Rattus norvegicus: one gene and its partner. The protein of the gene in region 2 purifies or fractionates together with the protein of the main gene of each other region. This does not show direct contact. Links are inferred from orthologs where the notes say so. Each region holds a gene or a part of one and is shown on either strand. Other genes may lie near its edges.

Region 1 (6,678 bases), on a different chromosome or scaffold from region 2:
ACTTGCCATCCCAAAGAGCTGCTGGTCCACCTCGAAAGGAGAGCCTCCTGTAACAGTGACCACAAAGCCACCCTAGGCACTAGGGACACAAAAACCACAATGTTGCCAATACAATGAGAACAGCTACCTCTTACCTGACTGCTGAACTGCCGGCCACTGGCTGGGTCTTTAGCAGCAACTAGCAGAATACAAAACACCTTAGGTCAATCAACTGAACTGACTGTATCCCGCCTCCTCTGCCCTCAGACCTCTCATGACTCCTGCTGTTTCTTCCACCACCACCCCCATTTCCATGTGATCACTGATGCATCTATCACATATCAAAACGAGGCCCTGTTACACACTGCAGAGCAGCCTCCTGAAAGGCCACTGGAGCAAACAGCACCAGACAATGTACTTCAGTTATACACAGGGTCCTTACTTGCAACCTGGTGCATTTCTTCCATACAGGCACGTATAACTGACCGGTAATTTTTACTCACTCGAACCAATCTACAAAAAAATGAAATGACATAGGAGATGACATCGACCATATCTTGATGCTAGAAAGAGAAGAATCAAAAGGAGACGGCTGGACTGTTCTTGCAGGAACAACCAGATTTGGTTCCCAATCCCCACATCAGGTGACTCACATGAACCTGCAACTCCAGTTTCAGGAGATGTGAAGTGCTCCAGTATATATAAACTCACACACACACACACACACACACACACACACACACACACACACACAAACGGCTAGAGATCTGTCACAATGATTTTAAGAGAGCGTAGTACTGTTGGAAAGGGCCAGAGTTCAGTTCTCAGCACCCATATCAGGTGGCTCACAACTACTTTGGTTCCAAGAGATCCAATGCCATCTCCTGGCTTCTACAGGTACCTGCACAATGTGTACACACACACACACAGTTAAACATAAACCACGCCTGGTCTGCATGGACGGCTCAGGCTGAAAGCACTGCTGTTGTAGTCAGGCCTGTGGCATATTTTCTCAGTTGGTAATCGATATGGGGGGGGCCACCCCTAGCTGGGGGTCCTGGATGCTGTAAGAAAGCAAACCCAGGGGTTGGGGATTTATCTCAGTGATAGAGCACTTGCCTAGCAAGCGCAAGGCCCTGGGTTCGGTCCCCAGCCCCCCCACCCCCAAAAAAAGAGAGCAGACCCAGCAAACCACAGGCAGTAAGGCAGCATGCAGCTCTCCATTGCTCCTCCACAACTGCGAATGCCTGCCCCACAGAGCCCGGAGTGCAATGCTCCCAAGCACTGATGAAAGCACACCTGGCAGCCGTGTCCATGATCCCAAGCTTGAGAAGTGGAGGCAAGAGGACCAGAAACTCAAGAATACAACGGATTTGTACACACACAGGCTGAATCAGCAGAGCACACACAGATTTGTACACACACAGGCTGAGTCAGCAGAGCACACCCCGGGTGTTCGAGGAGACCCAGCTTCACCTTCATCTACTTACGGAGCTCAAGCAAAGGACACACCGAAGAAATAAGTGAATAAATAAATAGGAAAGGAAAACAAATCCTAGCCTGGAGGTCAGGCCCAGTGACGTGGCTCAGCAGCTGGGCGCTCAAAGGAAGCAAAACAAATTCTGATTCCTCGTCACAAACATAAGCCTCAGAGGCAATTATTTCCATTTGCCTCAACTGCTGACCCCTATAAACATTTCTTTTGTCTTGAGACAGAGTCTGGCTCATGGAGCTCTGGGTGGTCTGGAACTGACTATGCAGACCAGGCTGCCCGTTAGCGAACATCTGCCGGCCTCATTTTTAACTCTTCCAAGAATGAGATCGAATCAAGGGCTTCTTTGGTCGTGTTATTTATATTCTTTTTACTTTGGTGGGTGGTGGTGTTCAAGGAACACACACAAATGAAGTAGGACTCCACAGCGAAGAGTTGATATACCAAGCCACCGAGTCTTCTAACAGCATTTCCCCAACCTACAACTACATCCTGGGAAGGCACCCTGGAGACCAGGAATCCTCTCCAAGGCGCTCCGCCACTCAGGAGGATAAGGGTGCCTCTCACCACGACTCCATTAGAGCTCCAGCACCCACCACTCACTGAGCTTTCCTGGATTTCCCGGACAGTTCTTCCTCAAGTCTTTGCAGGCCAACGAAGATTCCATGGGATTCGTTGAAGAGTTTTCTCAAAATTTGAGAGTAAACATCGACATCTTTCCTTATGATATAAATAAAGGGGCAGCTCGGGACCTTCTCTGATTTGTCTGCAACAAAACAGGAAAAAGGAAACAAAAACTAATTTAACATCTATCATTTTCCCCCAAAGAGAAAACACTGCAGTATTTCTAATTTTTTAGTCACAAAAACTGGCTGAGCATGGGGGGCACATGTCTACACACTCAGCAAGAGGAAGAATGAGACAGGAGGATTAAAATGAAAGAGAAGACTAGTGCATGCAATAGACCAAGCAAGCCAGGTCTATGATAAAAGAGAAGAAGAGGGGTGCTGGAGAGATGAGTCAGTGGTTAAGAGCACTGACAGCTCTTCCAGAGATCCTGAGTTCAATTCCCAGCAACCACATGGTGGCTCACAACCATCTGTAATGGGATCTGATGCCCTCTTCTGGTGTGTCTGAAGACAGCTACACTGTACTTATATATAATAAATAAATAAATAAATAAATAAATAAATAAATAAGAAGAGGAAGAGGAAGAGGAGGAAGAGGAATAAGAAGGAGGAGGAAGGGGAGGAGGAAGAAGAGGAATAAGAAGGAGGAGGAAGAGGAAGAGGAGAGTTTTTCAAGTGGAGAGCTGAGATGGGGTCCTAGTCTAAGCAATCCTTCTCCCTAAGCCTCCTGGGCATGCCCATGCTGCCCATGCCATCACTGAGCGACAGCCTACGTCCTTGGTTTTTTGAGAATGGGTTCGGCATCGTATCTCAGGCAGCCGGGAACACTCTATCCTCCGTCAACTATTCTGCACAGTAAAAATTCTACGACTGCAAGCATTGCCTGAACCCAAGAGTTTGCCTTCAGCTGGGGCAGGCAACACAGTCCGACTCATTTCTTTTTGTTGTTTGTTTGGTTGGTTGGTTTTGGTTTTTCAAGACAAGGTTTCTCTGAGTAACCCTGGCTGATCTAGAATTCATTCTGTCGATCAGGCAGGCCTTGAACTCACAGATCCACCTGCTTCTGTCTGCGGAGTACTGGGATGAAAGGTGTGCGAGTGTGCGTCACCACAGCTGAGCTATATGGCTCGTGTCTAAAGGTCCATTATAGGAAGGGTGCTGAAGAGATGGTTTGGTGACTAAGACCACTGGCTGAAATTTCATATTTTTATTCCTAACACTCAGGAAGAAAGGGCAAATAATTTCTGAGCTCAAAACCAGTGTGGTCTAGAGCCAGTTCCAGGACAGCCAGACCATCTCAAGAAACCAAAGACGACCAAACAAGACGTACACAGGCAGCTCTTCCAGCCAAGCTCTTCCAAGCTCGCATATGGCAACTCACATAAATATACAGTTCTAGTTCCTAGAGTCCAGGGATCTCTTTTGGCCTCTGCAGGCACCAAGCACGAAGTGGTGCATCAATAGGCATGCAAACAAAACTCCCATGCACAGACGACAGAATTAAAAAAAAAAAAACAAAAAAAAAACAAAAAAAACTTTGTGTTGTGTGACACACCTCAAATCCCAGCCCTCTGGACATCGAGGTTGGAAGACGTAGTTTCCGAATCCCACATATGTTGCACAAAGACAAGCCCACTAGGACTATATAGGGGTAACTTGTCTCAAAATAACAAAAAACAGTTTCAAACATAAAAAAATGTTGCCAAATGACTTCAGTTTCCTGCCCCTGATAGTCAACAAATGTACCAAGACAAAAGTGAACAAGAACTACCTACCTGTTTTGTTGAAGGAAGTTTCACATAGGAGCATCTCCCCTGGGCCCCAGTCAAAACACATTTGCTTCTTCTTGGAATTCACACCTGGAATCCACTAGTAAAACAGAAGGCATAGGAACTGTTAGCCCTAGTTAGGGCTTTCTTTTCATTCAACTTCCAAGTGTGATTGCGGACACCATAGTTCAGGCAGGCAGCCTAGATGGTATCCAACGGTTCTGTGCACATATCCAGACATATACACACACCTTAAAATATTTCTATGTAAGCGGAATAGAATACAAAGCGACAGAAACAAGTGGTCTATAGTCTCTCGTGAGAATAAATTACGCACTTATTAAGCTTTGAGCCAGAGGAAGAAGCCAACTGAGCTCTTGGAGCGACGATGTGGAGCTTACACCAAGCTCATTCTAACGCCCAAGGAGAGAAACTAGAGAAGCAGAAAGGTTAGAGAAACAAGGGATGATGCAGTGGGGCCTCCGCGGCCCGGCCAGTATTCACAGGACCCGAAGCCTAGGGACCACCACCGCCCTAACCTAGTTCCCAGTTGATCTGACATTCTGGATGGTGGCAACTGTGTCCAGAGAAAAAGCATGCGTCCCACATGTACGGAGGCAAGCCTGAAGTGACCAAAGAAACGTAACCCTCACAGTGAGACAAGCAAGCCTCTCCGGGCGTCCTTACAGTTACTGCGGGCTCGCAGTCGAGCTCCTCCATAGTGCGGTGCGCCCGCAGCAGGGACCCCTCCGCGTTGCTGCTGTTCTCAGCTCAGGCCTCCCGCTCACAGCCAGCTGCCAAAGAGGACCCCATCAGGGCGGCTTCCGAAGCGCCTGCACATCTCAACGCAACAAATCCCTTCGCCTCAGCCAAACACAGGCCTCTGCAGCTTTACACACGTCTCCTACTATTCTAACCTAGACAACACCTCAGGAAAACGTCGCCAGGGGCCACCGGTCCTCACGGAATGTTCCCACTAGATCAGGCGGCGCCATGGACAGTCCCACACTAGGCAAGAGGAAGGCCCCGGGAGATGGCGGGAGAGGAGGTGGCTGGGAGGGTGTGCGCGTGCGCAGATCCTTGCTGTCGCATCTCTTGGGATTGCAGAGCTACTCCGCCTCAGTAATCCTATTTTAGCTCTTAGCGGTAGTTGGGATCCCTCCCTCAGGGTCTGTTATTAAGTATTCTCAGTCCCTTTCTCTTACTCCGACAAGTATAACGCGCTTACTTTGGAATTGGTCGCGGGCATTGACACCCCAAAACAACAGGACTTCAACCTTTTATGTACTGGCCACTTTTCTTTCCTTAGGATTATTCTAAACCTCCTCTACCTTAAATTGTTGGGCATACATGACTTGAAAGAAGGGCACGGTGGCTTAAACCGGCAGTTGCAGCACTTGGGAAGTAGAGACAGAAATTCGGAGTTCAGAACCAGCTTTAGCTATGTAGCAAGGTTGAGCTCACTTGATGTGAGGCTAAGTGAAACCCAGCCTCAGAAAACAAACTCCCACCAGGCATTAAGGAAATAAAGAAAAATCTTTCTGTCAAATTTTTATCCAAGTCCTAATCACTGAAATCAATGATTTGGGGAGCTGGACTGATGGCTCAGTGGTTAAGCACATATGCTGTTCTTCCCGGGTAACTGGATCAATTCAAAGCACTCACATACACATGGAAAAATCCCAGGCATTCTGATGCCCTCTTCTGGCCTCTGTGGATGTGAGGCGCACATGTAGTTCACAGACATGCAGATATGCATGCAGCCAGTATACATACAATAATTTTTAAAAGACTGAATTTACTGTACAGTTAAACAAAATCTACCACATATGATCAGAGCTAAATAAACAATTAATTAAAAAAAAAAGTAAAGAGGTAGAGAGATGGCTCAGTGGTTAGGAACACTGACTGCTCTTCCAGAGGTCCTGAGTTCAATTGCCAGCAACCACATGGGCTCACAACCATCTGTAATGGGATTCAATGAATAAATTCTGTTTTTAGTTTTTCGAGACACACAGAGAGCTGACTACTTCAACCTCCTGAGTGCTAGTAGGATTAAAGGTGTGTGCACCACCACCTCCCAACAATTATTTTAAGAAAATAATAGTCAGATGGATTAAATAAAAATTGTCAGCAGAGTATGTTGACACCTCCTTGAAATTCAAGAATTTGAAAGGCTGAGGCCAGAGAATTGCCATGACTTGGAGCCCAACAAAACTATGTCTCAAAAAGCCCTAAAAGGGGTGCTGGAGAGATGGCTCAGTGGTTAAGAGCACTGACTGCTCTTCCAGGGGTCCTGAATTCAAATCCCAGCAACTACGTGGTGGCTCAGAACCATCTGTAATGAGATCTGATCCCCTCTTCTGGTGTGTCTGAAGACAGCGACAGTGTATTCATATATAATAAATAAATCTTTTTTAAAAAGCCCTAAAAGTTAAATATAAGCAAGCTGTGTAGAGTTAATTGAATTTTTACTTTGTTGTTTTGTTTTTGAGTCAGGGTTTCTCTGTGTAGCCCTGGCTGGCCTGGAGTTCACTATGCAGACTGGGCTTGCCTAGAACTCACAGAAACTGAACTGCTTCTGCCTTCCTAGCCCCTGGGATTAAAGGAATGGGCCACTGCCCCCCAACCCAAAAAAATATTTACTTTTTATGTTCTATGTCTGCTTGAGTACCTATATATATGTATGTGCACCACATGCTTGCCTGATCCTCATAGAGACAAGAAGAGGGTACCAGGTCTCCTGGAACTGGAATTAGAGACACTTGGGAACTCTCTGATGCGGGTGCACAGAAGTGAACCTGAGTCC
Region 2 (6,165 bases):
TAACTAAGGAACAATACCCAAGAGTGTCGTCTGACCTCTCTCTACAAATACAAGTTAATATCAAAACAAAATCTTTAAAAGAAATAAACCCAAATTCTTTGTCTTTCTTACAATGAATATAAATAAGGATTGGAGCTGTCTTCTAGGCTATGCACATTACGTGGGCACTGTGTACATCATGGTCAGAGATGTGTATTGATAAGAAAACCTCTGTGTAGCAGTTCATCCAACATGATCTCATTCTTTGAATGCAAAACTAGTCACTGAAGTCAGTAAATTAAAGTTAAAGGATCTAATGGTTAACTACCAGGCCATCCTACTTTAAGTTTAGAAACAAAAAGGACAGAGAAATCCTTAAAATCAAATTGAGGAAAGGAAAATCTGGGCTGGTCCTACAGAATATATAGTAAGACTGAACATGGGAGGCCATCAGGGCTTAGCCAGCCTGCACTCAGGACAAATGACCCACTGCAGTTCTATAGCTGATGGTCAGACTAGAGTCAGCCCACTGTGATGCTACAGACATCAAAGGCAGTGTCACTGATTAGACCAAGTTCCCTCAGTGGGACACAAAAAACACAGAGTCAGAACTCCAGTATTCTTGAATTTTGGAGTCTAAAAAGAAAAAAAAAAGATGATAGATTTAAAGTCTCTGAGAGGATGAGAGACAGTGTGTGTGTGTGTGTGTGTGTGTGTGTGTGTGTGTGTGTGTGTGTGTGTGTGTGTGTTCGTGTGCATGCGTGCATTTGTGTGTATGTGTGTATGCGTGTTCGGGTACATGTGTGCCATAGCACCCTTGCAGAGGTTAACTTCAGCTGTCGGCCCCTATTTCCACCTTGTTTAAGATAAGGACTCTACTGGTTTTTTCACTGAGCTGTGCTTACCAGGTTAGAAGTCTCCTCCCTCTGCCCCCAGTTCCCTAAAGGAGCTGGGGTGTTGCAGACATTCATACTCATTTCCTTACCCATGGGAGGCAAATACTTTTACCAAAGACCACTGGAGGCCTCGTCAAGGTTTAATAGAGCAGATACCCAGATTAGCTTGTCCCGAAGACACTGCATGTTCTAATTAGTTTCAAAACTGGCTTTCTTCCACATAGAAATAAAACAATTCAATTGGCCATTAATTTCTATGAACTAGGTAATCTGGTATTTCAAAATAGTACAAACATAAGACAATTATTTTAAATAATATTAAAAACAATTTTAAATATATATTTCAGAATTTATACTTTTAAGTGAAAGGTAAATATAAGTAACAACTGCCCCTCTATTAAAAACCTTACCTTTCCACAACCTAACACAGCCGTCATCTCCTGAAGACGCCAATACTGTTCCTGTTATGTTCCAACTCACCCTCCAGACCTGAGAATTATGATTATCAAACTGAGCCACAATATGGATTTCAAATTTTGTTGGACCACCAGAAGAAGTAAGTTCTTTCCTAAAAAAAGATTTACAAAGTTCTCAAAAAGAGTCTTGTGTGTATATACACTCACACATAAACATATATTTGAACTAAAAAATACAAATAAATACGCTTACCATATTCTTTCCCAACATGTGCACTTATGTCCCCTGCCCACTGCCCACTGCCCACTACCACTCAGCCCTCGGGCTACATAAACACCATTTCATTTGACTTCTCCAAAACCTGGACTTATTTCACCCCACAGATGAAGCTCATTGCCTCTTTTTTTTTTTTTTTTTTTTGGGGGGGGGGGGGAGCAGGGGGAGAAGACACAAATGAGCACATTATTCTCCTAAACGAGGTTCAAAATCCAACAGAGTAGCAGAAAGGAAGCAGAGAAACAAGGAAAGTAACTGGAACAATTAACTAAATCCTCACTCCAAAGGTCACATACAACATTCAGAAGAGGGCTCAGTCTGCAGACCTGAGCCCTTACTGTTCTCTCAGAGGAAGAGAAGCAGAAGGAAAGAGTACTTTCAAATTCTGCATTTCTCTACAACTTACCTCACAGGTTTTAATGTGAAAATTCTTACATCTTTGGTTGCTATTGCCAGGATGTGGAAAGATCGTCCCAAATTTGGAGCAAACGCAATGTCATGGACAGGATCCGTGACTGTCATAAGAGTCTCAGCTTTTGCATATTTCCTAAGTCAAAGAAAAAGTAATTAAAATTTTCAGAAATAAAACTACAGAACTTGAGGCTGGAGAGGCGGCCGGCTCCGGGGCAAGAGCACTTGCTGTGTCCCCGAGCACCACAGCTGGAGTCCCAGCACCTACTCCAGGGTTCCCACCCACCTGCAGCTCCAGCTTCAAGGGATCTCAACCTTCTCCTCAGGCCTCTGCAGGCACCAGCACATAGATGGCATATGTACACTCATGCACATGCATGTACATGAACACACATAAATCTTTATAATAAAAACAGTTTGAGCTACGTTTGATGGGTACTACTTAAGCCCAGCGCTGTGGAGGCAGAGCCAGGAAAATCTTCTGTGAGCTCCAGGTCGGCCAGGACTGTGGATGGAGACCCCCATTTCAAAATAAATGAGTAATTTTTTTAAAAAGTCAGAAATATGAAAAGGTTCATCAATGTATCTCAATGTTTTTCATACTCCTCTCAGTAAATGCTTGACTTTTGCGGGAACACTCAATAGTGGCCCCCAAATAACTAACTCCTAGGCCCAAACTGGAGCCTACAAATGTAATCTTATTCCAAAAAAAAAAAAATTTTTTTTTAATTTATCTATTCCTTATTCATTATCATTAGGGTAGGACTGACCCTAAAGTTCAATGCCCTTAGATAAGACAAAACAGGATGAACAAGGTGGGGTAACCCACACCTTTAATCCCCACATTACGGTGGCAGAGGAAGCAAGTTTGAGGCCAGTCTGGTCTACAGAGTAAGTTCCAGGACAGTCAGGACTACACAGAGAAAATGTTTCTAAGAAAAAACAGAGTGAAAAAAACACAAAACAGAGAAGATGCCTAGAGTGGCTGCCACAGTCCAGGATCCTAGGCTCAAAAGCTAAAAGATTGCCTCAGAGCACAACCAAACCAACAACTGGATTTCAGATCTCCGAACCCCACCAACAGGTTACCAGTCCATAAAAATACTTAATCAAAACTTAGCTCAAATAAAATCTGGCTTCATTAGCCTTTTTTGTTTTCCTTTTTTTGTTAAAAAAGGGTAAGAGCCTAGCATAGTGGTTCATGCCTTTAATCCCACACTCCACAGGGAGGGAGACCTGTAGGACTTCAGCCTGGTCTAGATAGTGAGCTCTCAGACAGGAAGGAGGGAAGGGAGAGTTGGCTGATGGCATACACCTATGACCTCAGCTTTTAGGACGTACACAAAAAGATCACTGAGTTCCTGGCCAGCCTGGGCAACATACCAAGTTCCTTTAAAGAGGAAAAAGTTAAAGGTACTTGTAATGAGAATTTTACTTTCATTGAAAAACAAAAATATTATGGGACTATATTTATCCTGGGCGTGGGATACGGAGCCTCAGAGCCCACAGCCCGAGACTATGCTTTCCTTCCTTGAGCTCTAGCAGAGCCATGACTTTGCCAGCTGCTGATAGGAGAGTTTCTGTAATTATGTAATGTTTAGAATTCTAAGGACTTTTGAGAAAGTATGTAAATGCTAGGGCCCTGAGAGGTGGGTGGGTTGGGGAGGGGACTGTTGGTAAGTTGCCGTTGACTGCTGTCCATCATTTTGTTAAGCAGTCACTAGCAAAGAAACAAGAGGAAATTGGATATCCTTAGAGCCAAAATCAAAAGTGGGAAGTAGCCTAATGGCAATGTTGTCCGGATCCCTCTATCCTTTTCTTTCCTGCCTAGGGTTAGAGGGGGAAAGCTATTGCAAGAGAGACCTGGGTGTGGTGGTACACAGATACAATCAAGCAGAAAGAGCACGATGAGTTCAAGGGCAGCCTGATTTACACAGTAAGACCCTGGCTCAAAAAAAATCAAGAACCTAAATGGTAGCCAGCTTGCCTAGCATGAGTAAAAACTGAAGGTGACTGCAATATCTTATCCTCACATTGTGTTCTGTAGCAGTAAACAGAATAAGATGACAATGAATTGGTCATGGAGGTTCACAACTTCAATCCCAGCACTCAAGAAGCAGAGGCAGGTAGTGGATTCCCAGGGCTCCAAGGCCAGCCTGATCTGCATAACAAGGTCCAAGCCAGCCAGGGGTACATAATAAGACTGTACCAGGAATCAAGCAAACTGTAAAGGGAAGAGGATGTCAAGAGTTTGGTCCTTCTTAGGTTCAACAGCATGGACATGACTGAAGCACTCAGCCAAGCAACCCTTCACGTACGAAGACAGGACAGAGCTCTCCATCCTACCTTTCTTCAATTCTCTTGAGCCTTCACTCTGAAATACCTACCTGAAAAATCTCACCTCACTTCGGCACAGTCTCAGCAGCCTGGGAGCTTGAAAATGCCCTCCACGCTGTGCTCCTGCCCCACCCCACCTACAGAACACTTTGAAAGCGAGGGGCAGCTATCGCTCAGTACTTTACCTGGCTCAGTCAAAGACTACGCTGCTGCTTCTTTTTCTACTACATGAAGAAAATGTTACCATGGTCAGCGCTGTACTAAACAGCCACTATTACGTTTCTCTTTTGGGGGTTGGTTTGGTTTGGTTTAATTTCTTTTACACACGGGGTTTCTCTACATAGCTCTGGTTGTCCTGGAACTCACTATGCAGAGCAGGCCAGTCCTGAACTGAAATCTGCCTGCCTCTGTCTCCCAAGCGCTGAGATTCCAGCTGTGTGCCACCATGCCAAATTACATTCATTCATGTTTTTATCTTCAGCTCTTACTGGTGCTTCTGAAATATTCAAAATACTTCATAAAAACAGATTTAAATAACAGTTGTCTAAAGTAGTTCCTATCCAGAATAGCCAACTGACAGACTTAGTCAGATTTTTTATTTTTTACAGAGGAAGGGGGCACCTTGCGTGCCTGGTATGGAGGTACAGAGGTGATCCCTGGAATTTGGGAGAGACAGGAGAGCAAATAAATCACAGCACACAGAAGGCCTAGTCTACAGAATGAGTTCTGAAATGACCAGACTCCACAGTGAGACTGTCAAAACAAAGAGGTACAGGGCGGCTAACAAAGACCCTGTTTTCTACCTGTCACTCTTGATATTTGACCTAAGACTTCACCACAGGCTGTTGGTGTGTTCAGTTGTGAAGAATGTTAGTGTCAAAGCTTTTGTGTTCAGATGTCCTAAGCAGGGAGATAAATGCACGAGGTACCTGCAGTACCTTGCTGTCTTCCCCTTTCTCATTGTCCCTACTTTATGCCAAAGCCACTGTCATCTCCCAACTAGATAACTTCACCAACCACTCACGTTCCCTTCTAAAGTACTTATCACTCCTACGAAGAGTTAAAGTACCGTTTGGCCCTGTGCTCAAATGGACACGACAAGTAAGACGACACTACAGCAGTGGAACAGGCTACTGCGTCTGCCTGCCTGTCACGTCCCCTCTGCCTGTTCTGTTAAAGTGGCAGGGCTAACAAAGTCTTGTTCCCAGGTCTTATCGGATACAGTCTTAGTCACACGAAAGGCTTTCTGCCAACTTCTACTCACCCCGTAGGTCCTGGGCTAAGTAAACATTCCTAACCTAATCTTTAAACCAGGTTTCCCCACGTAGAAAACTCTTCAACATCCTGATTCTTTTAGTTCTGAAAGCTTGTCCCACTCCTTAGTCTTATGTCCCATTTTCTCTACAAGGTAATACAGGTTGAGGTACCAGATACTATCTATCTCCTCTTCAGTTTCCTCTTCACAAACGGGGTGCATCCCTTAAGCTCAACCTACTCAAAAGGCTGAAATAGGAAAATCGAATGAACTCTCATTCAGGACTAACTGGGAGTAGCATGAGACTGTCTCAAAAAGCTAAAAACAATGGGGCTAGAGAGACAGCTCAGCAGTGAAGAGCACACTTTTGTTCCTGTAGAAGGCCTGGTCTTTATTCCCAGCACCCACACCCACCACAACTGTAATTCCAGAGATCTAATGACCCCTTAAGACATGTGACTAGGCATGCACATGGCACACAGAAAAATAATGCAGGCAAGACTCCGGAAAGAAATCTTTTTTTAAAAAGCAAAAAAACCAGGCCAGGCTGTGATGGCACACACCATGAATTCCAGCACTTGGGAGGCAGAGGCA

Evidence for each region.
Region 1: the proteins of Seh1l (region 2) and Nup85 purify together in Homo sapiens (affinity purification with western blotting; 4 studies listed by BioGRID and IntAct, with this or other methods). This does not show direct contact. The link is inferred for Rattus norvegicus from reciprocal best matches to the Homo sapiens genes SEH1L and NUP85.

What each region holds. Positions count from the first base shown.
Region 1 is NC_086028.1:101,303,369-101,310,046, reverse strand, and holds the start of Nup85 (nuclear pore complex protein Nup85), read right to left. Parts: upstream 4,613-6,678; 5' UTR 4,590-4,612; coding exon 4,557-4,589; intron 3,970-4,556; coding exon 3,876-3,969; intron 2,238-3,875; coding exon 2,075-2,237; intron 493-2,074; coding exon 422-492; intron 179-421; coding exon 135-178; intron 1-134. UniProt on the Homo sapiens protein: Essential component of the nuclear pore complex (NPC) that seems to be required for NPC assembly and maintenance. As part of the NPC Nup107-160 subcomplex plays a role in RNA export and in tethering NUP96/Nup98 and NUP153 to the nucleus.
Region 2 is NC_086036.1:63,628,798-63,634,962, reverse strand, and holds part of Seh1l (nucleoporin SEH1), read right to left. Parts: intron 2,116-6,165; coding exon 1,975-2,115; intron 1,560-1,974; exon of another isoform or gene 1,444-1,559; coding exon 1,286-1,443; intron 1-1,285. UniProt on the Homo sapiens protein: Component of the Nup107-160 subcomplex of the nuclear pore complex (NPC). The Nup107-160 subcomplex is required for the assembly of a functional NPC.